Mus musculus: one gene and its partners. The protein of the gene in region 4 interacts with the protein of the main gene of each other region in a pairwise test. Links are inferred from orthologs where the notes say so. Each region holds a gene or a part of one and is shown on either strand. Other genes may lie near its edges.

The links.
Region 1: the proteins of Tnik (region 4) and Gse1 interact in a two-hybrid assay, tested with the Homo sapiens proteins (2 studies listed by BioGRID and IntAct). The link is inferred for Mus musculus from reciprocal best matches to the Homo sapiens genes TNIK and GSE1.
Region 2: the proteins of Tnik (region 4) and Cnksr2 interact in a two-hybrid assay, tested with the Homo sapiens proteins (2 studies listed by BioGRID and IntAct). The link is inferred for Mus musculus from reciprocal best matches to the Homo sapiens genes TNIK and CNKSR2.
Region 3: the proteins of Tnik (region 4) and Golga4 interact in a two-hybrid assay, tested with the Homo sapiens proteins (2 studies listed by BioGRID and IntAct). The link is inferred for Mus musculus from reciprocal best matches to the Homo sapiens genes TNIK and GOLGA4.
Region 5: the proteins of Tnik (region 4) and Wwc1 interact in a two-hybrid assay, tested with the Homo sapiens proteins (2 studies listed by BioGRID and IntAct). The link is inferred for Mus musculus from reciprocal best matches to the Homo sapiens genes TNIK and WWC1.
Region 6: the proteins of Tnik (region 4) and Srgap3 interact in a two-hybrid assay, tested with the Homo sapiens proteins (2 studies listed by BioGRID and IntAct). The link is inferred for Mus musculus from reciprocal best matches to the Homo sapiens genes TNIK and SRGAP3.
Region 7: the proteins of Tnik (region 4) and Dpysl3 interact in a two-hybrid assay, tested with the Homo sapiens proteins (2 studies listed by BioGRID and IntAct). The link is inferred for Mus musculus from reciprocal best matches to the Homo sapiens genes TNIK and DPYSL3.

What each region holds. Positions count from the first base shown.
Region 1 is NC_000074.6:120,564,670-120,568,601, reverse strand, and holds part of Gse1 (genetic suppressor element 1), read right to left. Parts: intron 2,235-3,932; coding exon 2,062-2,234; intron 1,676-2,061; coding exon 1,478-1,675; intron 840-1,477; coding exon 648-839; intron 442-647; coding exon 119-441; intron 1-118.
Region 2 is NC_000086.7:158,040,235-158,044,928, forward strand, and holds the start of Cnksr2 (connector enhancer of kinase suppressor of ras 2), read right to left. Parts: upstream 2,964-4,694; 5' UTR 2,607-2,963; coding exon 2,543-2,606; intron 1-2,542.
Region 3 is NC_000075.6:118,558,130-118,562,061, forward strand, and holds part of Golga4 (golgin subfamily A member 4), read left to right. Parts: coding exon 1-1,654; intron 1,655-2,172; coding exon 2,173-2,294; intron 2,295-2,612; coding exon 2,613-2,743; intron 2,744-3,932. UniProt on the Homo sapiens protein: Involved in vesicular trafficking at the Golgi apparatus level. May play a role in delivery of transport vesicles containing GPI-linked proteins from the trans-Golgi network through its interaction with MACF1. Involved in endosome-to-Golgi trafficking.
Region 4 is NC_000069.6:28,605,515-28,609,446, forward strand, and holds part of Tnik (traf2 and NCK-interacting protein kinase), read left to right. Parts: intron 1-1,623; coding exon 1,624-1,863; intron 1,864-3,932. UniProt on the Homo sapiens protein: Serine/threonine kinase that acts as an essential activator of the Wnt signaling pathway. Recruited to promoters of Wnt target genes and required to activate their expression. May act by phosphorylating TCF4/TCF7L2.
Region 5 is NC_000077.6:35,875,634-35,879,565, forward strand, and holds part of Wwc1 (protein KIBRA), read right to left. Parts: intron 986-3,932; coding exon 896-985; intron 520-895; coding exon 1-519. UniProt on the Homo sapiens protein: Regulator of the Hippo signaling pathway, also known as the Salvador-Warts-Hippo (SWH) pathway.
Region 6 is NC_000072.6:112,772,471-112,776,402, forward strand, and holds part of Srgap3 (SLIT-ROBO Rho GTPase-activating protein 3), read right to left. Parts: intron 3,251-3,932; coding exon 3,029-3,250; intron 1,230-3,028; coding exon 1,128-1,229; intron 1-1,127. UniProt on the Homo sapiens protein: GTPase-activating protein for RAC1 and perhaps Cdc42, but not for RhoA small GTPase. May attenuate RAC1 signaling in neurons.
Region 7 is NC_000084.6:43,358,160-43,362,091, forward strand, and holds part of Dpysl3 (dihydropyrimidinase-related protein 3 CRMP4b), read right to left. Parts: intron 2,988-3,932; coding exon 2,803-2,987; intron 240-2,802; coding exon 75-239; intron 1-74.

The DNA of each region.
Region 1 (3,932 bases), on a different chromosome or scaffold from region 4:
TGGATCCACCCAGGGTGACAGAGCACACCTCCTCCCAGTCTCGCCAGCGTTGGGATGGCACCTCCTTACTGCTGGGGCAGGCACAGGCCATTCCCTCCACACAGCTCAGCCCAGGTACCTGCTCGGGTTGGGGTCAGCTGCTCCGAGGGCTTGGGCCGCTCCTCCGTGCTGTGACCTCGGAGTCCGTGCAGCTCGGCCACAGGCAGGAAGGTGGTGGGCTCTAAGGCCTTGGCAGCCAGCAGCTCCTTCTCCCTCGCCCGCTGCTCCCGCTGCCGCTCCAGCTCGCGCTCCCGTTCCTTCTCCCGCTCGCGCTCCAGCTCCTTCTCCCGCTCCTTCTCCCGCTGCTCCCGCTCCCGCTCCTTCTCCCGCTCCCGGTCGGCCTCCCGTTCCCGTTCCCGCTCTCGCTCTCTCTCCCGCCGCAGTTCCTCGTCCATTTGCAACCTGGGAGGGAAAACAGGGCAGCGTGCTAAAGGGATGTGCAGGGGGGGCAAGTCCACGCCCCAGCTCAAAGTGGAGCAGCCACATGCAAGAGTTGCCACCTACACACAAAGAACCGCATCCCGCCACCACCAAGCCAGGCCCCGCTGAGGACCTCAGGAACGCTCAACAGTCCCCTCCACCCCACCTCTGCTGAAAACACAGCTTACCTCTCTGCACTGAGGCTGGACATCCGCTCCGAGTGTAGCGCCGCCAGGGACGAGTGGGAGAGCTCAGGAGGATACCGTACGCCGGAGAGATGCAGGTGCATCGCCGACGGATGCAGTGGAGGCAGGGAGCCAGGGGTGGGGATGGGGTAGAACGGAGACCTTAAGGCTGACAGGCAATAGGAGTCATCCATCCTGTAGACAGAGAGGCAGGACTGGTGTGTGCAGGAGCCACAAAGGATAAGCTTGCCTAGCAGATGCGAAGCCCTCAGGTGAATCCCTGGCACTGCAGGAGAAAGGCCGGGACCCAGGCAGGTGAGCCGGCGCCTCTCGGCTGGGCGAGCCACTGCTCACTCAGGCTCAGCCCTGCAGAGACTGCATGCAAAGAGCATGTCCACTGTCTGGGGCCACAAGGAACAGACCACATGGGCGCCTAGGACCTCCCGGACCATGGGTGAGCGAGCGGGAGGGCAGACTGGCTGCAGGCAGAGACCTCTGGTGTGACCCGCTGTGGTAAGAGGCCAGGAGCTTCTACAGGAAGAGGGAGGGCATGGCCTGACTCTCACTCCGGAGTCTCCATCACACTGTCTAGGTACCACACACTGTTAGTGGGGACTGGCTGCTGGGGTGCAGATGCTGAGAAGTGGGAACCAAGGAGCATCAGCAGGTGGTACTGAGTCCATCCATCAAGACTCAACTCAGTCGAGCTGGGGAAAGCTATATAGCTCCCTTGAGTGCCTGGACCCCAAGCCCTGGCAAACGCCCGCCCCGAGAGGTTCTGCCTTGCTGAGAACAGATTAGCACACAGGGCAGCGTGAGTGGGGACGCCTCACCTGAAGGCCGGGTGGGGGAATGGGTGTGGGGCCAGGTAGCTGGGGTGATAGTAGGCTGCGGCGGTGGCTGGGTCCAGGCCAAGCGGAGGCAAGGAGGACATGCGTAAGTCTTCAGCAGTGTGGTAGGGCCGGAAGCTTCTCAAGTAGTCCTCAGTCACCGTGCTGGGGGGCACCACATGGTGCACAGGCCGCTGGAGGCTGTGGGAGGGGGAAGTGGGGAGCAGAGGTAATGTGCCACACTCCCTCACCAGGCTCAGGTCCTGCCTCTCAGTGAGGTACAGCCTGGCATGAAGCCCAGACTGCACAGATGGGAAGCTGCCTGTCCCTCAAGGTCCCCACGAGTGGATAGAGATGCTGGAGGGGCTCTCTGTTCCCCAGACCCAGAGGATGGGCTTAAATGTGTTTAGGACACCTGATAAGTCTGTCTCAACAAAGGCTGGACCACAAGGTCAGATGGGGCCAAGGACCTCAGGGCAGATCAGGCCACTGAGACTAATGGCATTCTATCTACCTCTGCCAGTGCAAACTCTCAGGTCTGTCTGGAGCCACCCCTGTGCCTTCCCTGACCCCAGGCTGGCACTTACTTGAGTGGTTGGAAGCGGGAGTCCTGTACAACTGAGCCGGGGGAAAGGCCAAAGGGGTACGGGGTGCTGAGTAGGTGGGAGGGGATGGCGGGGCCCGCAGCCTTTTCCTGGGCGAGAGGTGGCTCCACCAATAGGCGCTCCCGACCACTGCTGCTGCCTCGTGAGCCAGAGTCCTGCGGGAAGAAGAGTTAGGTTTTGGGGAGCCATATTCTAGAAACATCCTCCCCCTAATTTTTTTTTTTAATCAAAGAAAGCATAAAAGGGGTATTTAGGGAGAAAGCCTCCTATGAGCAGGTCTGGACCAAGGTCTACAGGGTCTGGCTCAGCTCTAGAAGGAACTCAACAATGTCAGGGAAGCCTTAGACACCAGACTGCTGAATCCCAAGATGAGGCATGTGAGGGCATCTGCAGGGTAGGAACTCCCACCTCCTATAGGCAAAACAGGGTGGTCATAGAGTCAGGACACACACACACCCTGGGGACCTGCACCTCAGGACAGAGCTGCTCCCTAGATTCCAGCAGTGCCCGTAGCTATGTGGACACTGCTGGCAGCTGATATGGACCTACGTGGGGGACCCTTGCACATATTTAGGCTTTGAGACCCCAGGAGAGGCTCCCTTCAGGCAGGAAGTGAGAGGCGGCAGTTGAGTTGGGCTGGGCTGGGCTGGGCTGGGGAGACCCCGCCTCACGGACTGATTTTCTGTATAAACAGTCACAGCAGCACCACACAGCCTGGAGAAACCAGACCCAACAGCCCTGCATGCCTGTCACCTGTGACTAGGGAGGAATCCTCAGGGCAAGGCAGAGAGGCAAAGTCAGGGAGCCACGGAGCAGAGGGGAGACTGAGGGCCAGGAGCCTCCTGGTACAACTTTGAGGCCCTTCCCTCACTACTGCAGGAGAAGCCCAACACAAGGCAGACAGTGGCACTCACTAGGGACACGAGGTCCTCTGGATGATATGGCTGAACCCATGGTGTGACTGAAAGGCTCATGGTAGCCAGCATAGTAACACTGATTGTCTCTGGATACAGGCCTGCCAGCCATTCTACCGGCTCCTTGTGGTTATCCCCAGGGTCAGCAGCTAGCATCACCAGAGCATATGTAAGCCCCGAGGGGAGGGGTCGTGGCTGTACCACCACTTAACCCTGTGTGTGCAGAGTGAGGACAGCTTAGCACCGTACCTCCCCGCCTCCATTCTCACAGAGTCTACCACAAGCCCTCCTGCTCCCCACAGACAGCCAGCCACGATTAATTGAGGGAGACAGGCTGCTGATTGAATTTTTAATGAGCAGCAACATCTGTTTCCTTCCCTGGGTGCAGCAGCAGGCTGTCTCTGTTCCCTTGTGGGGTCCTCATGGGTTCATGACCTCTGACCTGCCCTCCTCAGGAGAAACATTCACACAGTACCGTATAGGTGTGTATGGCAGGGTGCGGGTGGGGTGGGGGCACATATCCCACTCACACCAGGACAAACAAGGAGACTAGAAAAATGGCCATCAGGCTGGGCAGTGGTGGCACATGCCTTTAATCCCAGCACTACAGAGTGAGTTCTAGGACAGCCAGGCTACACAGAGAAATCCTGTCTCCAAAAAAAAAAAAAACCAAAAACCAAAAAACAAAAAACAAAAAATAGCCCCAAAGATGAAAAAAGAGAAAAAAAAGAGAAAAGAAAAAATGGTCATCAGGCCAATTGGGGGGGTGGGGGGAAGGGGGGTTTGCACACTGCTGCCCTCCTCAGGCCTGTGGCCTCTCTGACTAGAACCTGGCTAACCAGGCCATCTGTGGGGCAGGGTGCTGCCTGGGTGACAAGGACAGAAAAAGCCCCGGCATGGTGGCTGCCCCAGGGCACCCTCCTGGCAGCAGCTGTGGCA
Region 2 (4,694 bases), on a different chromosome or scaffold from region 4:
TATACAGGAAGTTCAAGGCCAATCTGTACTATATGATATCCCTTTTCAAACAAACAAACAATAAAATGTTGTTCATGCCTTAATACTGACTTTATAACACTATATATTTAAAAATCATTAAGCAAGGTCTAATCAACTCAAAGCTATAGGCTAAATTGGTAGTCGTCTTTCCAACATTTCTGTTACTGAGGAAAGTGAAAAACTATCTTTTAAATGTCATTTTTTAAAGTTTACTGGGAAAAATAGTAGAGAAAATTAACTAAGGTAACACTATAAAGAGCAAGTTGAGGAAATTCTCATCTCCTCCAACTATTTTTAGAAATCTCATTTTCTGATAGGATCTGAAATGTATATGACTATCACAGAAAATTTAACAATAAGCAGTTTAGGACTAAGCAGCTAACTGGGACCTGAACTTGATAATTAAAGCAGATACTCTCCTAGTCTTATTCAGTCTTTTGTTCTACAAAGGCATGTAAATTCTATCTTGGTTACCTAACTGATCTTCTTAGGTAACTATAAAATGTGTCACCAACAGGTACAAAAAACAAGTTATTCAACTTAAATATCATGTAAAGTTAAAATTACAGGAAATAATCTTTTCCAAAGTTCAAAGAAACTACATTTTGCACTGGAGAGATTTTTAAAGGACATCATATGCTGTGCTTGCTTCAGGGAACCTAAAACAGTGGAGAGAAAGGAAGCCGCAAGCATGTAACTGGGTACGAGGTAAAGAAGATGGAGTATGCAGTGCTCATTACAGGCATCATGGGAATTTCTAGAAGGCAATCCCATGAAGCCAAGACACCATAAGTCTGAATGTTGTTGCAGCAACAGACCCAAACTAAACTCACCTTTCAGAGAAATTCAAAGAAAGCGTTTTAATTCAACATTCTTACTTCCTGTGACTACTCTGTCATCCATGACTAAGAAACTGAAAAGACAGAATTTTCCTGAGGCGTGTGTGTGTGTGTGTGTGTGTGTGTGTGTGTGTGTGTGCGCGTGTGTGTGAATCCAGGAAGCTGGAATTTTAATAGCAAATATGGAAAGAGAACAAGCAGCAGAAAAGATGAGGCACTGTTAGACTTTGTCTTAGTCATCTTTATAACCCCCATGGCAACCAATGCACTGCACACAAGGGGCAGTGGATAAATAATGAATTAGGTTTAATTCAATTCACTTGCACTTACAGTGTGCTTCGCAGTTACAAAGCATTTTTCTTACATATGAGATGAGAAAATCAAAGTAAGTGAGAAGTAACAGGGCAAATCAGGGAGAAAAGGAAGCAAAACACATAAAGAGAAACCCTAGAAGAATAGGCAAATGTCCGAAATGGTGGGGGAAAGATTCGGGGAGAATTTATTTCTCCCTACTACCTTCAATCCCTTCCATCTTTGAGTATATAGAGCTTAGAAAGTCTGACTGCTAAGCAAGCCTTAGGAAAGGGGCTCCTTCCTCTTTGAAAGGGGCATTTTCACAGATAAGGCTTGAAGAATATCTTAAGTTTGCCTGCTCGGGTACGACCTCAAGCAAAACTCTCATATTTTCCAAGCATGTCCAAGAATCTTTTATTTCAATGTAAGCATCCCCTTTGCAGAGTTCAGTCTGGGGATGACTGGAGAGGTCCCCAACAAGCCCCTCAACTCAGACAACAGAGGGAGATAGTGAGACAGGAAAGCCAGGAGACTAGAGAAAAAGCCCACATTTGCGTCTAGGAGGAGGGCTAAGGTTTGAAACTGGTCATTAGAAATTGTCGGGTGTGTGTGTGGGGGAGCCTTCAATATGGAAGAAAGGAGAATACTTGAATGCGCATCACTTTAAACCCAATGTTGGACCCTTAACAAGAAGCCGCGAGAGGTTTAAAGCCACCGCAGACCTCAACCTAGGAAAGCAAAGGACATGCTGGGGTGCACAGGAGGGATCCCACATATATTAGCTTGGATGCTGCCCTAAGGGAAGCATGTTACCCTAAAGTAGCTCGCTCCCTTCCCGATCATCCTCAGCCCAGCATGGAGGAGGGGGTTCCCACCTTCCAACTGGAGCGACTGCATCCTGACCCCATTATGCGGGCTTAAAAGTTGCCAGGAGAGTTGGCGCTGGGGAAGGCACTTGGCAGGGCGAGACCTAGAAGGGGCCTCGGGTTTCCAGGAACAAAGGGGCTGGTGAAGGGGCAGCCACGAGAATAGGTCCCACGGGCTCCTCCCTTAGCCTGGAAACAGGGTCGCCGCGTCCTCTCAACCCGAAGGCGTCGAGGGAAGCGGGAAGCGGGGAAGCTGCGCGGGGATTCCACCGCCCTGCTTCCAGCTTCAACCAGGTGGCGCCCGCCGCCCTCTTGCTCCCCGCGCCCCTCCAGCTGAAGACAAAAGAAGTCTAGGGTCCCCGGGCCCCTGCCAGAGCCAGAGGACCCCTGTCCATCCCCAGGGAGGACCCTCAGCAGTTGGTTGGAAGCTCCCAGGACGTGTTATGCCCTAGCGGGCACCCCTCCCTCGTACCGGGACCCTGCGCCCCAGTGTCGCCTCGCTCTCCCCACAGAGGGCATTACCTTTCATCCAGTCCACTACTTGACTCGGAGACCATTTGCTCACCGGTTCCATTATCAGAGCCATGGGCGGCGGGGTCGGTGCCGCGTGGGACGCGGAGCTCGGACAGAAAGCCAAGTCCGCAGCCCGCTGCGCCCTCAGGTGGGGTCGGTGGCCGGCCGCAGCCTCCCGCGGTGGGCGGCGCGGAGAGGGTGGCTTTTGTGTTTCGGTCCCAAGGCTGGAGCGTCGGAGGTGGCTGCGGTGGGAGCGGCGACGGCCGGCCAGCTGGCCGGGGTAAGACGCCGGGGTCGGCTAGGTCCCAGCCCAGGCGGCAGCCGCAGCTGCGGCGTCCGCGGCTCAGCCCGGGGTGAGCGTCCCGAGGGGCTTCAGTGCATGGCTCGAGCCGCCGAGGTCGCGGCGGGGAAAGGAAGAGGCGCCGGCGCACGGTCGCAGCCAACTTGCCCGCTCGCTCGCCTGGCGCGCGGGAGTGGAGCCCCCGGCACGACGAGCCGCCCGGCGGAAATGACGAGGGGCCTCCTGCCACCCAAAATATCTCTCCGCAGCCCTCGGGTGCGGGGCGCGCGCTCCACGAGCCCCCCGCCCCGCTCGCCGCCGCGCGGTCCCGCCCCCAGGGCCGGCAGCCGGTGCGCGCGAGCCCTGTGCGCGTGCGTGGGCCAGCGCGCGTGGCCGCCGCCCGACTTCTAGCAGACTCGCGGGCCAGGTGTGGGCTGCTCGCGCTCCCGCCTTCCCGCCCCGGGGGTCGCACTCGGCCGGAGCCGCGCCGGGAGGGCGTGTGCGGCAGCGCCTGGAGCCCCGGAGCCAGCCGCTGCAGCTGGAGGCTCGCCCAGCCCCGGGGTCAGTTAGGCAGTCAGGTGCGGCGGCGGCAGGAGAGTGGCTCCCAGTGGCCTTCCAGGAGAGTCAGCGAGACGGGTCGCCCCACCAGTTGAACGGACAACCCGGGGTGGCGGAGGAGGGTACTATAGCACCCCTGTCCCAAGCTCTCCTCGCCACCAGGGGGGAGGGGACGCCGCAGAACTGCTGGGGTGACAATGGGAGTCCTGACTGTTCTCTCTGTCGCCCTCGCGGCTGCTGAGTTGGCTCCCGAGGTGACTCCTCCGGACCCTGCGGAGAACACGGGATGTGGGCTTCCGCAGATGGGAGTCAGGATCTAGCCAGAGACGCCCATAGGAGACTAGATGGCTCGTGCTGTCGGATCTACCCTGGGTGATAAAAGGAACCCGGGAAGTCAGAGATGTCAACTGCAAGAGGCTCCAGCCTCCAGAACCCACACGTGCCTCTTCCCAGGCTCTGCTTCAGTTGTCGGCCACCTCCTTCAACACAAGGTCCCCGACATCTATTTTACATGATGTCATTTTGTGTTCAGTCGTTCTTATATAAGAACGGAAGAGTAATAACAGGACTTAAAGTTAGTGACAAATTGCAAACATAATGTTTCACATATTGTTTGCTTCAAAAAACCTATGCATGCTTCTATGCAACGTTTAGAAATACACATTTTGCCTAAATGAGGCTTCACTTTCAATGACAATTCTAGAGCGTCTAGTAGCAAGCTCTACCACCATTATAGCTGGTTTGTTTTTTTTCCCCCCTCGGTATAATTCTTAAACAGTCACATTGAGTAAACAAGCAACTTCTTTTATTTCTATAATCATTTCAATAATGTCAATAAATCATGTCAGTTCCTTCGGTACCCATTTTGTCTAACTCAAGTTTATAAGATACAGAACACCACTTTCTTCAGTTGGCATGGCTTGGCAAGTTCTCCCCCAACACAGGAGAAGGCAAAACAGGAGTAGATAACACACTGATGTTTTTATGCTAGTGCTACAAACAAATACCATTTAAGAAGCTTGTGTTCAGACTTGTTTACTAATAACCCAAACTCCAAAATATACAAATAAAATTTTAAAAAGAAATTTACTGGGGACTGGAGAGGTGGCTCAGCGGTTAAGAGCACTGACTGCTCTTTGAGAGGACCTGAGTTCAATTCCCAGCTTCCATATAGCAGCTCACGACTATCTGTAACTCCAGTTCCAGGGGTTCTGATACTCTCACACAGTCATACATGCAGGTAAAATAAATGAAACAAATCTTTTTTAAAAAGAAATTTAGATTACAAATTTAGAAATTTAGATTATAAAACAAGTAATGGTA
Region 3 (3,932 bases), on a different chromosome or scaffold from region 4:
GTAAAGAGAAAATGTCTGCCCTTGAGCAGGTGGATCATTGGTCCAACAAGTTCTCAGAGTGGAAGAAAAAAGCACAGTCCAGACTTGCCCAGCACCAAAGCACTATTAAAGACTTGCAGGCACAGCTAGACGTAAAAGCCACGGACGCTCGTGAGAAGGAGGAGCAGATATGTTTACTGAAGGAAGACCTTGATCGGCAGAATAAAAAGTTTGAATGTTTAAAAGGCGAGATGGAAGTCAGGAAGAGCAAGATGGAGAAAAAGGAGTGTGACTTAGAGACTGCGTTAAAGACTCAGACAGCAAGGGTCGTTGAATTAGAAGACTGCGTTACTCAGAGGAAAAAAGAAGTTGAGTCCCTAAATGAAACACTTAAGAATTACAACCAGCAGAGGGACACTGAGCACAGTGGGCTGGTTCAGAGACTTCAGCACTTGGAAGAGTTGGGAGAAGAGAAAGACAACAAGGTTAGGGAGGCTGAAGAGACCGTCCTGAGACTACGAGAGCACGTGTCCTCGCTGGAAGCTGAACTTGGAACTGTGAAGAAGGAACTAGAACATGTAAATTCAAGTGTGAAAAGCAGAGATGGGGAGCTGAAAGCTTTAGAAGACAAACTTGAGTTAGAAAGTGCTGCAAAAGTGGAGCTGAAGAGGAAGGCCGAGCAGAAGATCGCTGCCATCAGGAAGCAGCTCTTGTCTCAGATGGAAGAGAAAACCCAGCGGTATGCGAAGGACACAGAGAACCGACTGAGTGAGCTGAGTGCACAATTAAAAGAAAGAGAAAAGCAAGTTCACAGCCTAGAAGACAAACTTAAAAACCTGGAGAGTTCTCCACACCCAGAAGTGCCAGCGGTGTCCAGATCTATGCAAAGTGTGGCAGCGTCTCCCGAGCAAGAGGCTCCAGATTCCCAGGACTGCACACACAAGGCCTGTAAAGAAAGACTCTGCATGCTGCAAAGACGTTTAAGTGAAAAAGAGAAGCTGCTGCGCAGGCTGGAGCAGGGCGAAGGCGAGGCGAGGCCATCGCAGCCTGAGGCTCAGCACAGGGCGCTCTCTGGAAAGTTAGACTGCACTAGAGCCAGGCAGCTTGAAGATCACGTTTTGATAGGATGTCTTCCAGAAGAACTCGAAGAAAAGATGAAATGTTCCTTAATTGTGTCTCAGCCCATGGGAGAAGAAACTGGTAACAACACAGGGGTGAAGCAGAATTGGGCAAGTGTGGTTGACAGTGTTCAGAAAACCCTCCAGGAAAAGGAGCTCACTTGCCAGGCCCTAGAGCAAAGGGTGAAAGAACTGGAGTCGGACTTAGTAAGAGAGAGGGGCGCCCATAGACTTGAAGTGGAAAAGTTGACCTTAAAATATGAAAAATCGCAATCTTCCCAGCAAGAAATGGATGGGGAAAATAAATGTGTAGAAGTGTTGGAAGACAGGCCTGAGGAAAACTCCCAATCCCATGAGATCCAGTCAAACGTGGGGACCGTGGACGGCCTGCGCAGCGACCTGGAGTCCAAGTTGACAGGAGCGGAGCGGGACAAGCAGAAGCTGAGCAAGGAGGTGGCGAGGCTGCAGAAGGAGCTGCGAGCTCTGCGGAGGGAGCACCAGCAGGAGCTGGACATCCTGAAGAGGGAGTGCGAGCAGGAGGCCGAGGAAAAGCTCAAGTAAGTGCTGTGCCCATGTGCCTGCGTGCGTGCGTGTGTGCGGTGTATCGTATAGACACTTTTACCTGCCCAAAGTGTTCCATAAGCCTCGTAAGTTAAGTACTGAGGAGAAATGATCATTTTGGCCTGGATACAGTGTCATTCCATGTTCGTTTAGGGGACATGGCTCCTCTTGCAGGTAAGATCACAGCTGCTGGCTGCGCGTCTGGAGTAACGATCTCATTGCTGTTCTCTTAGTCGTAGCCTTGTGACTGTAGCATGCAGGTCTAGGGGAGAAGTTTACAGTAGGAAGGAACAGTTCTCCAGAGCCCAGGTTAGTGCTGAGGGTAGTTATAGTTCATCAGTCTCACTTTGTATGCGCTGTTCTCTTTACACACACACATACACACACACACACACACACATACACACACACTCAGAGTGGTTTCCCCAGCAGTGAAGTCCCATTCTTCTGAAGCCTGGTCCCTGTTTGCTCTGTGGAGGCAGCAGCAGTCACCGCTGTCCACTCTTGTTCTCAGACAGGAGCAAGAGGATCTTGAGTTGAAGCACACGTCCACACTGAAGCAGCTGATGCGGGAGTTTAACACACAACTGGCACAGAAGGAGCAGGAGCTGGAAAGAACTGTCCAGGAGACCATTGGTAAGCACAGCTTTGAGCTCGGCAGGGACACCACCCTCAGGGAGCCCACAGTTGAAGCTTACTCTCCTTTCCCATGTGGTAGGTGCTGTGTGTCATTAAACTCAGGGAAAACGGTCCTTGTCCAGAAAGTGCACTTGTCCTCCTGAACGTCCTCTAACCTGCCTCGCCATCACTCACTGGCCTTTGGCGAGAAGCAGCGCCTCCCCACGCCTGCTCTGCTGCATTTCATCAGCATTAATTTGAAATGAGAAGTTCCTATTGCCGTTGGCATATAGTCACAAACATGATTTCTCATTTATGTCCCTTTTCTTTTATTAGATAAGGCCCAAGAGGTGGAAGCCGAACTTCTGGAAAGCCACCAAGAAGAGACACAGCAGTTGCATAGAAAGATCGCGGAGAAAGAGGATGATCTGAGAAGGACAGCCAGGAGATACGAGGAGATACTCGATGTACCTTGGTTTCCTTCTCTTTTGAAGTGTAGCAGTGTTTTACGGTAGCGCTGAATATTCTGGCTTCTCACATGGAGAGACGTCTTTGAGAAGCTAAAGTGAGGCTTTGTGCTTGGGTTAAGTCTGGGAGCAAGTGCAGCCTGTGTCTGAGGCGGCTCACCCTAGCCATAGTCTTCCCAGGACAGTAGCCAACCTCCTTCCTCGCCACTCGCTGCAGAATTTGATGGTCCAGGGTGGACTGTATAGGAAAAGGAGATTTATCAGCTAAGTGTTTTGTGTTCAGTAGATGCTGTTTCAGAGTATGTAATACAGTGGCATTGCAGTAGCAGAGTAAAAGAGACCACAAACGAGGGTCAGAACTTGGACCCCATGGATGTTTTCAGACACAGCACTGTCACTTATTCTCTGTTGGCGTATTACGTAAGATAACCTTACTGCGTCACACGCCGGGAGACACTTGTTGTTCCAGAAGAGCCGTACTTCAGCTGCGTCAGCACTGCATGTGAGGGAGGGATAGATGGTGACAGTCATTGTTTTAAATGTAATCAAATTGAGTGAAATTTCAGGATATGGAATGCCACCTTTGTGCAGTGTGCAAGGTTTAAATCTCATTAGGAAAATTAAAATAATTGCACATTTTCTTAGGCTTTCAGAGTATATTTGTGCTGAGTTTTTAAAAATACAGCCAGGGAGCTGGAGTGATGGCTCAGTGGTTAAGAGCTCTGACTGCTCCTGCAGAGCGAGCATCCAGGTTCAGTTCCCAGCGCCTATGTGGTGGCTCACAGCTAACTGTAACTCCAGTTCCAGAGCACCCGGTGTTCTCTTCTGTGCTCTGTGGGCACTGCACATGCATGGTACACATAAATTCATGGGCATTTCAATGCACATGGTACATCTGGTCTCATGTAGACACATAGATAATAAATGCATTTTTAACAATCCCATTGAGGTGTTGGTGCCTATGATCCTGGCACACTTCAGGAGCTGGGTTAGGAGCATCAGGAGTTCAAGGCCAGCCCTGGGCATAAGACTTTGTCTCAATATAAATAAATACAGTCACTTTTTGACTCCTTATGGAATTTTTTATGGTCTAGTATATCTAGTATACCTGATAAACATAGTTTAGTTCTGTCTTCTGGTATTTGTTACTGTGCTTTTGTTTTCTTTTGTTTTTATACAGAAGGGAAGG
Region 4 (3,932 bases):
GATCTTCTAAAGTGAGAGTGGGTTTTGTACTAGATACTGCAATGCATTTTGTTTTAATGTTATGCATTGTATTTAATGATATTTGCATCCATGTGAACTTTACAAGGCCTATTCAAAACACTCAGCAGAACAGAGCTTTGAGGATTCTTCCAGCATGTCTCTGTGACATTCTAATAGGCACTGTAGACCAAAGTGGGTTTGGCAGGGCCTTGTATGAAACCCATAGGAAGCCGAGACTGCTTGAATGAGCAGTTTAGTCAGGAAGCACTCTAGATTTTTTTTTTCCCAGCCATGATCCATGTGAGCTAAACCTATGGATGGACCCGGGCTCCCATGAGTGCAGTATACACCCAGAGGTAGAGGACCGGCTTCAGTATTCACAAAATGCAGCACAGGTGGAGGTATCCCTTGCACCCTAGACTTTGATGCTTTTTCTTAAGAGGTCAGATAAAAATCCCAAACAGTACCACATTGCCTGAGTGCCAAAGAAGCATCCTGATACCTGGAAATGGTGTGTGTTTTTAGTGGGGACATCCAGTCCTGTGGAAATCAGGTGGCCCATTTGATAAAGTGCTTTCCATTTAAAAACCCAAGTTCGATCCCTAGAAGACACACATAAAATCCAGACATGGCCCGTGTAGGCTTGTGATCATAGTACTGGGGAGGCAGAGTCAGGGGAATCTACCTTAGGGCTTCTCGACCAGGCAGCTTAGTGAAATTGCAAGTTCGAAGCCAGTGAGAAACTATGTCTTAATCAAAGTGAAAGCTATGTATGCCACAAGCCTTTAATCCCCGCACTCAGAAGACAGAGGCAGGTGGATTTCTGAGAGTTGTTAAAGGCCAGTCATGACGACATTGACTTCTAGACCAGCCTGAACTTCACAAGCAGACCCTGTCTCACGAAGGAAGGAAGGGAGGGAGGGAGGGAGGGAGGGAGGGAGGGAGGGAAGGGAGGGAAGGGAGGGAGGGAAGGGAGGGAGGGAGGGAGGGAGGGAAGGGAGGGAAGGGAGGGAGGGAAGGGAGGGAGGGAGGGACGGGAGTAGAACTCAGGGTTCCAGCTCAGACTCCAGCATATCAGCTGTAACATTTAGGATGTGGCTTAATCTCTTTGTACCTGGGATTGCTCATGTCTCAAATAAGGAGGATGGTTATCTCAACCCTGTGAGATCACAGAAGGAAAGACATTTAGAGTATTCTTCTTTCATAGAGCAATTGTATCTAAAGCCAAAGCTAAGGACTTTACAGGCAGGAGCTTGGGATAGCTTATAAAACATCTTGTGTTGCTGTCCAAGAAATATTGAATAAAAATAATTGTTACTACTGCCACACTACTTCCTGACTTCTTAGCAGTTCCAGACAATAGCAAACTGAACCTGTTTCCAGGAACCCTGAGGTAGCCCTGCAAATTTTCTAAATTGAAGACTCTGAAGGGTTTCCAGATGTGCTCTCTGCAACCTTGACTAGCAGGAATATCTCTGCCAGTGAAGTGTATCCCAAGTGTGATTACTGCTAACTGAAAACTGCCCTGTCGTAGCTCTGATGGATTCAATTCTTGCATACAGATCTTTTTGTCCCTTTAACCTATGGGCTTCTAATAATGCTGCCCCTGTGTTGTGTGCTTAGATCCCGCAGCTGGTAGCTGTCAAATCCCAGGGACCTGCCTTGACGGCCTCCCAGTCAGTACATGAGCAACCCACAAAGGGCCTGTCTGGGTTCCAGGAGGCTCTGAATGTGACCTCTCACCGGGTCGAGATGCCACGCCAGAACTCGGATCCCACCTCAGAAAACCCTCCTCTCCCCACGAGAATTGAGAAGTTTGACAGAAGCTCTTGGTTACGACAGGAAGAAGACATTCCACCAAAGGTAGCATCAGTGCTGCTGGGTGTCTGTGTCACTGCTGCCATTGCCACCATGTGCCACCATCCCATCCCTTTTACAGTTTAGAGAATTTGACTGTGCAACAACACCTTCCTTCTCACATGCGTCTCTTCCTAAGCTGAGTGTTGGCTAGTCATTAATCATTTCTGATCTTCATCTTCCCAAGGGGACAAAGACAGAGAAGTATGTCTTAAAACAGAATTATAACTCTCAACACCAAACATTCTAGGCCGTTTTGCTGTCCGCATTAGCCAACAGACTAGTGGGTATTTTCAGTGATTATTGCATTTCTTGCTAGACAAACCAAATCAATAAAAGAAAATGTGCTTACCCTTATATTTAACAACACAAAACTTGAGCAGATTTCAAGGGTTCAGAAAATGGTATGGGGGCTGGGTAGATGACTCAGTCAGTAACATGCTTGCCATACAAGCATGAGAATCTGGGTTCAGGTCCCTGGCACTCAAGTAAAAGCCAGGCATGGTGGCATGTGCATCTAAGCCTGGTGTTGAGGATGCGGAGGCAAGAAGATCCTTAGCCAAAAGAGTCTAGCTAGATTGGTGAGTTTGTGGTTCAATGAGACCCTGTTATACACACAGAAAGAGAGACAGACAGAGAGATGGAGAGACAGCAGGTTGGAGAGACAGAAACAGAGACACAAACAGAAACACAAACAGAAACAAACAGAAACAGAAACAGAGCCAGAGAGACAGAACAGAGCCAGAGAAAAGCAGAGGAAGGAGAGGGAGAGATTGAGAAAGATACCCAGCATTGACCTCTGACCTCCATAGGTGCATGCATGTGCACGCACACAGACACACACACACACACAGGGTGTCACACTCATGTATACACATGTGAAAACACACATACATGCACAGACAGGCTGGCCTTGTCTTTAAGCATTTCACTTAGCTCTTCTTAAGGAATGCTCCCTTTAGGGTAAGGGGTACTATATGTATTTGCAGACTCAATTAATTACAGAGGGTCGAACTTTTACAGAGAAATGACTAGTTTTCCTACTAGTGTTCCTACAGAACAACCCTAAGTGCTTTGGTTTTATCTCACGTTACTAAGATGATATTTGTTCTGGAATGTGGCTGTTCTGGAAAGTGTCTACAGTCAACCTGGAGGTCTTTGAAATGCTTACGATATTTTGCACCATATTCTTCCTGGTCCATGAATCTTTCCTACTGTGCTTAGCATACAGAGCAGTGACAATTGTAATGTCCTGGATTTCCAGAAAACGGTTACTACTAACTCCGTGAAAGAGAAAGTGGATTTAATGATTTACAAACTATTACCTTTTCCCTCTCAAGTGGGGTCACAACAGGATTCCCATTATTCTGACAATGAAACAGTGACTGTGCTGTTGTCTTAGTCAGGGTTTCTATTCCTGGACAAAACATCATGACCAAGAAGCAAGTTGGGGAGGAAAGTTTACTTTTCCATACTGCTGTTCATCACTGAAAGAAGTCAGGACTGGAACTCAAGCAGGTCAGGAAGCTGGAGCTGATGCAGAGGCCATGGAGGGATGTTCTTTACTGGCTTGCCTCCCCTGGCTTGCTCAGCCTGCTCTCTTATAGAACCCAAGACTCCCAGCCCAGAGATGGTCCCACCCACAAGGGGCCTTTCCCCTTAATCACTAATTGATAAAATGCCTTACAGTTGGATCTCATGGAGGCATTTCCTCAACTGAAGCTCCTTTCTCTGTGATAACTCCAGCTGTGTCAAGTTGACACAACACTAGCCAGTACAATTGACCCCTTGTCAACTTGACACACAAACACATCACTAGTAAGCCTCAACCCTTACATTCTTATTCATCCCCAAGATCTAAATAACTTTAAAAGTCCCACAGTCTTTACATATTCTTAAAATTTCAATCTCTTTAAAATATCCATCTCTTTTAAAATCCAAAGTCTTTTTACAATTAAAAGTCTCTTAACTGTGGGCTCCACTAAAACAGTTTCTTCCTTCAAGAGGGAAAATATCAGGGCACAGTCACAATCAAAAGCAAAAATCAATCTCCAACCGTCCAATGTCTGGGATCC
Region 5 (3,932 bases), on a different chromosome or scaffold from region 4:
TCAGGTCCTGGTTCCTCCAGCCGGTATCTTTCCTGGGTGCCGCTACCGCCGAGGTTCAGCTCACAGAGAGTGGTACTCAGCTCTGTGTCTTCAAACTCCAGCGGGGCCAGGAAGGCATCTCCAGTCAGGAGGGGATCAGTGATGAGAGGGGAACAGGGAGGGGATGGGGAGGAGAGAGATGAGCGTGGAGACAGGGAGGTCATGGACCTTGGAGTGCCAGATAGGGAGCGCAGGGCCTGCAGGCGGCTGCCTCCCTCTGCCTTCTGGGTCTTGGCCACCTCATCCTCGTGGATGGTGGTGATGCAGCCTGAGGGCCGGAAGCCCGTGGCACCCTCCAGGAACAGCAGCTCCACCTTGCTCTGGAGCTCCGAGTCCAACTGCTCGAACGGGTCATAATAGAGGTCAGTGAAGCTGGCTGAGGTGGAGGAGTCCAGGCTAGAGGCGGCCAGGGAGCCCCGGCTGGAGGTGAGTGACCCAGGGCTACTGCCTGAAGACAGGGACTGCATGCTGCTTGAGAGGCTGGGGACAGGGAAAGGAGAGAGATAACACGGAGTGAGGAGGCCAGGGGCCACTCCACCGGGCTCTGGAACTATGTGCATCCGTCTGCCTAGCCCACTTGACAGCCTAAGTTGGACCGGCACCCAATTTCACTGAGGAGAAATTGCTATCAACATGGGCAAGAAGGCAGATGTGATATGCTTTCAGACCCACGGGCATCTTTTAGGGGCCATCTCTGTGTGTACAGTGCCAAGGGATGAAGCACCCGGTGGCCAGCCACCCTAGCCAAGCCTGCATATGCTAGAATGACCAGCTTCTAAATGTCTTTCCTCAAGCTAAGGTGGACCAGAGGATCCTGAAGGGCATCATGGAGCTGGGTCACCTCCTGGCCACCCACCTTTTCAACTGGGAGTGCAGGGTAGCCACCTGCCGAGTGGCTTCCTCCAGTTCTCGCACCAGCTGGTTCCTCTTGCTATTTAACTTCAGCCTGAGGGAGAGGAGGCAAGACAGTAACACTCCAAAGGGCTGCAGTGCTCCAGCTCCCAAAAACGGCCTAATAGGTGCACTCGCCAGCCCAGGCGCACAGGCACAGGAACTGGGTCGTAACAACGCGCTCCGGTGTAGTGGATAGGCACAGACTGTTTTATACAAATTCTATAGGAAGTGTGCAGCCCCTGCCACACCTGAGAGACTAAGCTAGGGGCCTTAACACACTGCATCGATTCAGGACGTAATGTATGTGCCCGGGGAGAATGACTTCAACAGTTTTATAAATGAGGAAAATTTGAGGCTCTTAATTACATCGTTTACTCAAAATTATTGACTAAGTGGAAGAATTAGGATGCCACCAAACTACCATTCTTTCAACTGCTACCCCATTCCCCTCCTCCCCTCCTTCCTTTCCCCAACTAATATTTACCCAGGTGACACTGGATGCTGTTCCTGGCACCAGGGACACAGCAACGAGGGAAAAAGAGAACTCGTTGCTTCTTATACAGAGCATGGAAGGTGGAAGACAACAGGCATCTAATTAGTGCATGGTGTAACAAGGTCCGAAAAAAAAAGGACAAAAACAAACAAACAAACAAACAAACAAACAAACGCAGAGCAAGGAATCCCTAACTGAGATCAAGCAAATGGCTTCATGATCATCTTTCTATCACCTACGCTTGTCTGTGTCTTCCTGGGTTCCCAGGATCAAAGCTGAATCACTTTCCCAGGTTCCCTAACATCTGGCTGAGGCACGTGAGCAAGTTCTGGCCAGTGGAATACGAGCAGAAACCACGTAGACAAGCAGACCGAAGTGGTTAAGGAAAGTGTTTTCTGCTCCGTCTCTGTGGCCTTAAAGGGGGGCAGACAAGCGGTGGGCTCTTCAACAAGGGAGGCTGCCAGTTTCCAGGAGTTCTAAGATATTATCTGGGTGAGAAGCAGACGTCAAGAGTGCTTATCCACAGAGATTTGGGGCTATTCCTCGCAGCAGCTGGATCAAACTAAATTAGGGAAACTGAAGTGGCTCACTAGACAGAAGGGAGTTAGGAAGAAAGGAAGGAAGGAAGGGAGGGGGAGGGAGGGAGGGAAGGGGGAGGGAGGGAAGGAGGGAGGGAGGGGGGAGGGTCTTTTCCTAGATGACGTGGCTGAGTTCACTCACTCAGCCGAGGGGCCGGGATGATGAATTTCCATGTCAACATGACTCATTGCTCCTCTGTCACCCTGCTGGCTCCCTTGACTCAGGAAGGGACCAAGAACTCAGCCAGCCCAGTCTACGGCCAGAGGGCCTGGGTTGGTTTTCACATAAAATCAAACCAAACTAGCCAGGCCCCTAGCAATATTAGACCAGAGGTAGCCTCAGAAACAACTGGAGAGCAGAGGGGGGTGTGTCGGGCTTGTAAGTGGGCAAGCAGACCCGCGAAATCACTCATAGGATAACCAGAGTGGTAGGCTAACTGCTCCTGGCATGACGCTTGTCCAACTCACTCTCTAAAGCCTTCTTTCCAGACACTTGCCTGGGGCTGATAGGGACAGAAGGCAGGCTGGCAGATGGGGGCCTGTAATGGAGAAACCCCAGAGTTCTCTCGATGGAGTGCATTAGACTGTGGAGTGCCCCATCCCTCTCTAAGAGCACAGCCCATAAAGGAAGATAAGCGTGGGGTCACGAGGTGGAGCTTGTGGTTTCTACAGAGCAAGCCAGGGTACACCAGGATCAGACACAGACCCTCCCTGGAGACTAGGCAGGATGGAGACGGAACTGTCGTTGGACTGAGCATGGCACAGGGTAGTCACAGACAGTAACACACAGGTGCAGGGCTCCCCTCTCAGCAGCAGCAGGCTTAGCAGGCCAGATGGCATGTGATGGACGTGCCCAGCACATGCTGGGAGGCTGTGAATACATCAATCATGGAGATAGGAAGAAGATCCAGGGGGTGAGGCCTAAGTGCCCACAAGCTATAGCTTCGCACCTGGGATGCTGGTTAAAAATGCAATAGCCTGGGCTGTATCTCGGGCCTGAAGAATTGGTCCCTATGATCCGACAAGCATCCTGTATGACTGCACACCAGCTCTGACACATGGCTGGTCGAGAGCAAGGCACAGGGAATGTAAAGAATGTGAAGGCAGTTCTGAGAGACACAGGGAGGGGAGAAGGAAGGAGAAATGTAAAAAGGGGCACAGGAGAGGTGAAGGGGAGAGAAGACAGAGAAAGGGACACAGAAAGACAGACAAAGGGAGACAGAGGAGAGAGAGACAGAGAGAGGGAAGGAGAGATAGAGGGAGAGAAGGAAGGAGGGGAGGAGGGAGGGAGGGAAAGAGAGAGCTTACAGAGAAAGAAAGCAGGAATTTGGAGGCCCAGCAGTGAAGACAGACAGACAGACAGACAGGGATCAGAATCATATCTCTAGGTATCAGTTCCTTCCCGACACTTCCTGTGGCTTCTCTCCTTGGCCCCCTCTTAGGGCACACGTGGCCCTTGTTCCCTGTGCTCCCTGCCGTCCCAGCTGCTGCATTTCCCCCAGGGACCTTGCCCTCCAGGACCTCTGTGTGGTCTGATCAATGGAGCAGCGGAGAGTGTAGGCTCCCTAGACTGGCTTGGGGAGTCAATACTCCATCAAAGCTCCTGGACCTTTGAAAGATGGAGTTGAAGGCAATATGGAAAGGCCTTCTGAGTGTGCAGCTGCTTAAAGTTAGTAAGGACTTGAATCCCAAGTATGGTTGCTTCTAATCTCAGCTCTGTCACTGGGTGGTGTTAGGTGGGCCTCGATTTCCTCATCTGTAAAACGGGTTGCTCTCAAGTTACTAGGTCTGGCACATTCAGTACACCTGAGAGGCACATAAAAGAACCTCTGGCATAAAAAAAAAAAAAAAAAAAAAAAGAACCTCTGGTTCTAGTTTCAGGAAAGAAAACCTTTGACAGTAGGTCAACACCTTGATTCACAATCTGG
Region 6 (3,932 bases), on a different chromosome or scaffold from region 4:
TATGTGAATAAATACCACATAAATAAATACTTGTTGAATGGATAAATGAGTGAATACATCAAAATCAAAGATTTTTTCCAACATAGACTGACAGGAAGCTGATTCGAGGATAAGCATATCCAAGCCCATCCACAGCTCACAGAGAGGGCTGTGTGCCTCTGTCTCCTCCCTGTGGCCCTGATTTCCATTTAAATTTCATTAATGGCATTATACATGTAAACCATTAAACATCCTTTGAGGTGGTGGTGGGGAGACAGAAGATAAGCAGAAAGAAAGGACGCATTCTGTCTGCCTGCTGTATATGTCTTGCCAGGTTTAAAAAAACAAGTTGGTTTGTCTTCGTGTGACCTTTCCCAGGCCTGCTTCGATTTATGTCAGCTCAGCTCTGTCCTAGCTCTGCCCTCTATAGCGATTCCAAGCACAACTGTCCCTATTGTCCAGGATAGCCTTCATGACATTTGAAGACAGTGGCCTCCTCACCTTACACCTTGACTGCACACCACCTTTAATGGCACTGCCCACATCCTGGGGTCTTTTCTCCAGGGCCCCAGGGTTGGCTGACATCTTTCCTCTGACACTGCCTGCCTGGCTTCTTCAGTCTATGTCCGAATGGGTCGGCACAGTGTGATACTGTGCCACTCAGCAATATGGGAGGAACCCTGGACTGGTGAGGCTGACCCACTCCCTGGGGTTTGAAAATCCACAATACATTTAGGGTGGCCTGGACTACCTATTTCATTGTGTGATTTTAAATATTAACTCTGACTCCTGATGATGACAACCCAAACTTACAGCAGAGAGTGAGGCAGAAAAGCATGAACTCATTAGTAACTATCAATCACTCTACAGCTGAGATGGAGCCAAGGCTCACAGTTCAAAACATTTTCCCAAGCATTCTAAGCCTGCAAATCTGCAATCGTTCTAAACATAGAGTCCGGCTTTCTCTTGTTTCCCTTTCACGTGAGGTCTTGTAAGCATCCTTTAGGGCACTAAATATTCTTAGTGCAGGTGGGCTGTGCGGTTGTATAGTCTCCCACCAATGAGCCATCATTTTCTATACAGTCCAGGGCATGAGACTCCACTGCACAAGCCCAAAGAAACTAGACACAGGGTAGCAGCTCACTCACCTCTTCATTCTCAATCTTGAGAGTGGCCAGCCTGGACTGCAGCTGGTGGTACCGCATGAGCAGCTCTGTCTGGACAGGCTGCTGTGCACTGACCTGGCAGACCTGCAGAAAGGAACTCTGTCATTGCAGATCTGTGGAGCCAGGGTGGGGGCTATCATTAACATTCCATCCAGAGCCCAGGACACAGGTCCAGCAAGGCCAAGGAGTCTGCCCTGGGTTACCCGTGTTGGACACGGACGGCAAAGGCAGTACCAGATGGGAACTAGGGTCCTCTTACTCTAGCGTCTACCCTCCTGCTGTCGCCAGCGTGGTTCTTCAGTCATATTTGCACAGTCACTGTGGGCTTGAAGAGACCTTTAACATAATCTTAGCAAGCCAGACTAATCAGTTGCAAGGCAGGGAGTTGTGGAATGAAAGTAACTGCTTGGACAGACAGTAGTGAGCACAGTGAACCAGAAGCAGTTGACAAGTGCTCCTGTCACTGTTAGGAATGAGTAAAGATGCACCGGAGACAATTGTGACAATCACATTGTTGGTCTGTCTTGTCTACAAACTGCATGTCCACAAATTCAGCCAACCAAGGACAGAAAGTATATATAGGAGGGGGAAAAAATCTCTGGACTGAATGTAGGCAGGCATTTTCTTATTGCCCCCTAAGCAATACAACACAACCGTGCACAACAGTTGCATAGTGTTAGGTATGCTAAGTAATGCAGAGGCGATTTCAAGTATACAGGAGGATACGCACAAGTTCTTTGAATAGTGTTCTTATGTGAGGAGCTTCAGTACCCTTGAATTCAGATATCACCAGTGTCCTGGAAGCAGTCACCCACAGAAACAAAGAGTGGCTGCACTATTCTTTCAAGGTCTTCCCTTCCAAAGCTGTTACTACCTGTGACTTTGTTTGTTTTCCTCTCCAGACCTCAGTTAGGGTCTGGACAGCACAAGCATGGAAGAAAAGTCAATTGTCTGGTGCATCAGAGGCTCACAGTATTGGAAGGGGTGTCAGATGAGGCCATCTCAGGTCCAAGGATATAGGAGACTATTTCTAGGAAGACTGGAGCATCCTTGAAGTTTCCTAAACACACCTAGGAGAGGGGTCTAAGGAAAGCCAAGGTCCTACAATTCTGTAGGTAGGGGACGTTAGCAAACAAGACAAGGAGATCATCCGAAGAAGCTCATGAGTTAAGAGCTGACCCTAGGCCACCGAGGTAAATAACGGCCTATGTGCTCGGGCTTTTTCTCCTCCCACAATGCACTAGGAGCATGGAAGAGAACAGAAGTAGTAGCTATGATGTTAACACGCCCTTCTCCCAAATTTGAGGCATGGGAAACTCATTCTCAAAGTCCTGTGAAAATGGGATTCAGAAGTGGGGCTGCCAGGAAGTGACTAGGTTTCGACAAGGTGCTGCCACAGCAGCAGTAGTGGCTTTATCAGAAGCAAAAGAAAGACCGACCCGAGCTACATGTTTGTTCTGCCTTGCAGAATGGTATCCATGTCATTTTACACCAGGACAGTCTTCACAAGTTGACAAGCAGATACCAGCACCATGCTTTTAGAACTCCTAGCTTTCCTGTATCTAAACCGAAGAGGCCTCTAGCTCAATGGTTCTCAACCTTCTGGATGGTGCAACTTGAATACAGTTCCTCATGTCACGGTGACCCCACCCACCATAAAATTATCTTCATTGCTACTTCACAACTGTAATTTGCTCCTGTTAGGACTTCTAATGCAAATATCGGATAAGTAAGATGGTCTTAGGGGACCTCTGTGAGAGAATTGGTGAACCCTTAAGGGGTCATGACACACGGGTTGAGAACCACTGCGTATTCAGGTTCAGGTACTTTCATATGGTAATGGAAACTGGACTCATTACGTAGGATTCTGGCAGGAAGCCTACCTCATCCCCCATGTGGGGCTGGAACTCAAACTTGAGTGGAGGGCAAAAGACCTGGCTGCACATATCCATGACTGTGTGCTTGTCACTCCGGGAGTCCAGGTTGTCCACTGCATTCTCTATGACGTCCAGACCCTCATGGCGAGAGGTCTCCAGGTTATATTCTGCTGAGAGGTAGGTCCGAAAAGTGCGGGCCAGGCTGGCGTGAAAGCCCAAATCACAGCACTTGGGGAGAGGCAGAGGACAGAAGGGTACAAGTGAGAGCTGGAGTGGGGACCTATGATCACCTTCCATTGCAGAGCACTTTGGAGTCCTGAACAAGCCATATCAAACCCCTCAGAGGGAGCTCAGAGATGAAATGTGGGTACCAACAGAGCCTCCTTCATTGCCCCAGGCTCTCAACACAATCTTACCTCCAAGCATGCTCTCTGCCTGGAATGTTCTCCATTTGCCATTAAACTTATAGCCCATTTCATTCTGGAAGTTTTCCATACTGGGTTTTGGTCAGACATCTACATGCTCTCTGCTTCCCTCACTGTGGCCCTTGTCACCTGCCTTTGGAATTGTCTAGTAATGTGCTTTAGGCAGGTGTGCTCTAAGGGGCTTGCTGGCTCTTGCCCCCCACTGCTGAGCTTTAAGCCCTAGTCCACAGTAGGTGCTCAATAATCATTTGGCAAGTGAAAAGGCATAAAGGCTAAAAGCTGAAAGCTGAGAGCTAGGGAAGAGGAGGGGGCTAGCCTGAGGCCGTTGGAAGGCTGAGCAGATTGCTGCCCCCAAACCCCATGTCCTGGCTTCCAGAATAGAATACATTGGGTTAGAGGGAAAGAATCCAGCGGCCACTACCAAACCTACTACTGCACACCTACAGAAATGGATTCTCCATTTAGCATGGAAGGGGAGACAGAGA
Region 7 (3,932 bases), on a different chromosome or scaffold from region 4:
GAGCGGGCGGGATGTTGTGGGAGACGCAGACAAGGCAGCAGAGAGACGAGGCTGGAGCGCGTGCTTTGACTCACCTTTTTCCTTGCTGAGGCTCTGTACCTCCTGCTTGACGCTGTCATTCCAGTGGGTGATGTCCACATGCAAAGCATAGTCACAGCAGCTCTTCCCATCGGCCCACTCACGCCACTTTTCATAGGCCTCTGTCAGGCTAGACTCAGGTTCAGGTACCACGTGGTCAACTGAAGGACAGAGGGCAAAATGGGTGACTCGGAAACAGTTTGGTCTCCCTGTCTCTATTCCTGCTCCTTCCAGCTTGGTTAACTCGGGGACTTGGAACAAATTAGTAGCTTTCTGAAACCTCAGTTTTCTTTTCTTAAAAATGGGTGTAGAGTAGATGGGGAACACGTTATGATTGTATTTTTCCGTCTGAGTTTTCCATATGACTAAGTGCAAAATGCATATATAAGGTGCTTCACTGATACCTGGCGCATATTAAGTGTTAACTCCTCATGACTACCTGCTATTTTTATGTTGTGACTACTGGCTCTGAGTCACTATTAATGGCCAAAGTTGTGTTCTCTTCCCTGGATAGAAGAAGAAGTTCTAGATGTATAGCAGGCATGAGTAACCAAAGCCCATGAACTTGCTAACAAGAATAAGTTTCTCTGAATTCAAACCCACTTTTCTCTGCAACCATGGATGATACATATTTTTAAAATAATTGTGGGTATGTCTGCATCTGTTTGAATCAGCTGCTGGGTGGAGCCTCTCAGAGGACAGTCATGTTAGTCTCCTGTCTTAAGCATACCACAGTATCATTAATAGTCTTGGAGATTGGTGCTTGCCCATGGGATGGGTCTTAAGTTGGGCTGATTGTTGGTTGGCCTTTCCCTCAGTCTCTGCTCGATCCTCAGTCCCTGCATTTCTTGTAGACAGGATAAATTTTGGGTTTAGAGTTTGGTGAGTGGGTTGGTGTCTCTATCACTCCATTGGAAGGACTGTGGGAGGGGGTGACCAGGAAGAGGGGCAGTGAGCAGGGTGTAAAGTGAATAAGTAAAAAAGAAAAAAAGTTAAAACAGTAATGGAGGCATGGTAGTGATCCCAACACCTGGGTGGCTCACTAAAAGCTCAAAACCAGCCTAGCCTGTGTAGCAAGATCCTAATATCTCAAAACAAACAAAACACACCATGCCTAAATTAAGAGAAATGATATTAAGTAAAATTATATTTGTATTTTAAAAAAATAATCATTGTGGTTGTTATAGTAGGGATTTAGCAAAAGCTCTACCCTCACCTGGGCCACAACGGGTAGCTGAGTTAAAGTGTGAAATTGGTTCAGCTTTTGGGAGGACGACATCGAAATATATATCAAAACTCTGGACATTTTCCAGACCAGACTCAATTTACTCTCATGCCTAAGCCTCATGCCTAGGAAGATAAGTTGTAGCTGTCAGCAGCATTTAGTATCTAGACTGTACGCTGATGCATTTACGAAAATGAAAAATCGAAAGTGGCCGAGGTTGAAAAAAATTGAGAAGTTTAGTTTAAAACATAGAGACACTTTTCACAGAGTGACGAGAGACACCCATTTTAAAAGCTGAGGTAGAATGTGAGCAAATGACTGCCTGGAGCAACATTCGTGATCCACCACTTAGTGGAAAAAAAAAAATCACAGCTTTAAATATGGCACAGATACTAGGATCCTGCTGTGAACTTGGAAACTGCCATAGTAAGAAACTCCAGCAGTGAATAGGGTTACGTGGATCCTTTGCCTTGCACACATCTAGAGTTTCTAAGTTATCAATAAAGGGCAAGAATGCATCTGTGGCTCCTTGTAAGCTTTATTCTTCGCCTAAACCTCCCATCTGCTCTCTGCTCCTTTGCTCATGGAGAAAGACCAAGTAGACAAGACTTTACAAGCATGCAGAACAGGCCCAGTTCCTGGCCCAGATGGCAGCCAGCCAAACCAAAGCAAGAACCACGCATTTCCTCTGTCAACAGAGCCCGAGTGCACTGATGGGAAAGCATAATGCATCCAGCTACATCAATACTGTCTTCAAGGACACCAGGGCTTTCCTGGGCAGAAAGCTGCTGAGAAGTCAGCTGGCTTCCTTTTATCAGTTGCGGGGAAAGGCTCAGGCCTCCCTGGACTGCACCTTTTATGGCCTTGCTAAAGTTGAACCCTGCTAGTGGTTCAGTCAAAAGGAAGGTCAAGACAGACTGTAATTCTGGCTCAGGCTGCTCTGTGCCTGTGGGTAGAAGAATAAGCTGTTAAGTAAATAGTGCTGTGTCTGAGTTTGAGGCTAACTCTGGGCCAGTACCCAATTCATTGAGATTCCTTGGAACAGGAAGGACTGCCTGAAATACTATCAGTTCTGTACTCCAATAACATGCAATTTCCCAAGTTTCTCTGGAATTAGTAATTACCAGAAGCAAAAGAAAAGAAAAATAAAAGAAACCGCTCACAGCTTTCCTAATCTTAAAGATACAAATTGGTCAGAATATAGCAAAGACCCAATAGCACTAAATCCACCGAGACCCACTAATCTCCCAAGAACTGTCAGTCTCAATGATCATTCTTTCAGACATATCTTTCTCTGGTTGTTTTCAGTAACATTAAGTTCATGGACGTCCTTTGTGTAACTACAGGAAGTTGGCAGTTTTCCTGCTTTTCCCACACCCAGGGTCACATAGCTTCCATGAACCAAACTGAGAGAAGTGTGTATAATTTCCGTATTTTCAGAGGGCAGTGTTTGACACCTTTCTCAAACCCACAGGGCTGGGCAGTACGAGAGAACGTACTGATCATGGTGGTGCCTCCCGCTAAGGCAGCCTTTGTCCCTTGGAAGAAATCGTCCACTGTGGTCATTCCCTTGTAAGGCATCTGGAAGTGGGTATGGACGTCAATGCCTCCAGGGATCACCATCTTCCCGTTGGCCTCGATGGTCTTCACACCTCCGGGGACAATCAGATTGTCTCCAATTTGCCTGACGAGACAGTGGAACAACGGACAATTAAATGGAGCGATCCTCAAGACGAGCGTAGGATGTCTAAGCAAAGACAGATAGCTGTGTATCCAAAACTACTGCCCCAGCATCATCTGCATGGCACTGTGTTATGGTTTGGTACTGAAATCTAAAGATTGCCAATGTCTAGAGTCAGTGCGTGACTCATATTTTTATATAACTATTTCCATTATTTCATTCACTTTGTTTTTTCTCTCTATTGGTGTGGGATCACACTGGGGAAAATGACAAGGAACGAGAAATAAATGACTGTTAGGTGCAACAGAAGATAATAACTTGGTACAACAACAGGCATGGGGACTTAGTCATCTGTGCCCTAATCAAAGGCGTCTGCTTGAATCACCACCTGCTCAAGTTTCTTTTTCTTACTCCACCATTCCCTGATCAGCTAATAATGCCTTGTTGCAGATGCACAAGGACAGCATCAAACATGCAGCTCTCTCCCACACCCTCTGCTTTTGTATGGTCAGTATTTCAATAGAGGCTCCAGACAAAGAAAAGTAATTATGGTAACCCCGAAGGCTTCAGAACATCCCAGGAAAGAGTGGGGGAATAAACTCATTGAATACATAAATGAGAGTTTCAAAGGTTCATCTCACAAGAATGTGATAACTATTCCCCACAAGGCTGTTTGCAGGCCACTGGTTGCAACATTGCCTAACTTTTTATTTTATTTTATTTTTTAGCTTTGATTTAGACATCTGGCCAGGTCTGCCCTCATAGTATACCTAGGATTCACAGTTTATACTAATACTAAATATCTCCTACCTTGGGCACATATGTGCCCCACTATTTTCCCTTCTGTAGATAGCCCCCCAAATTCTCTTGGGGTAGTAAAAAGTCCACCCCACTGCTGACCAGCAAACTGTAGGTTCACAGCTAATGTGTTCCTGACATGTCTAAGAG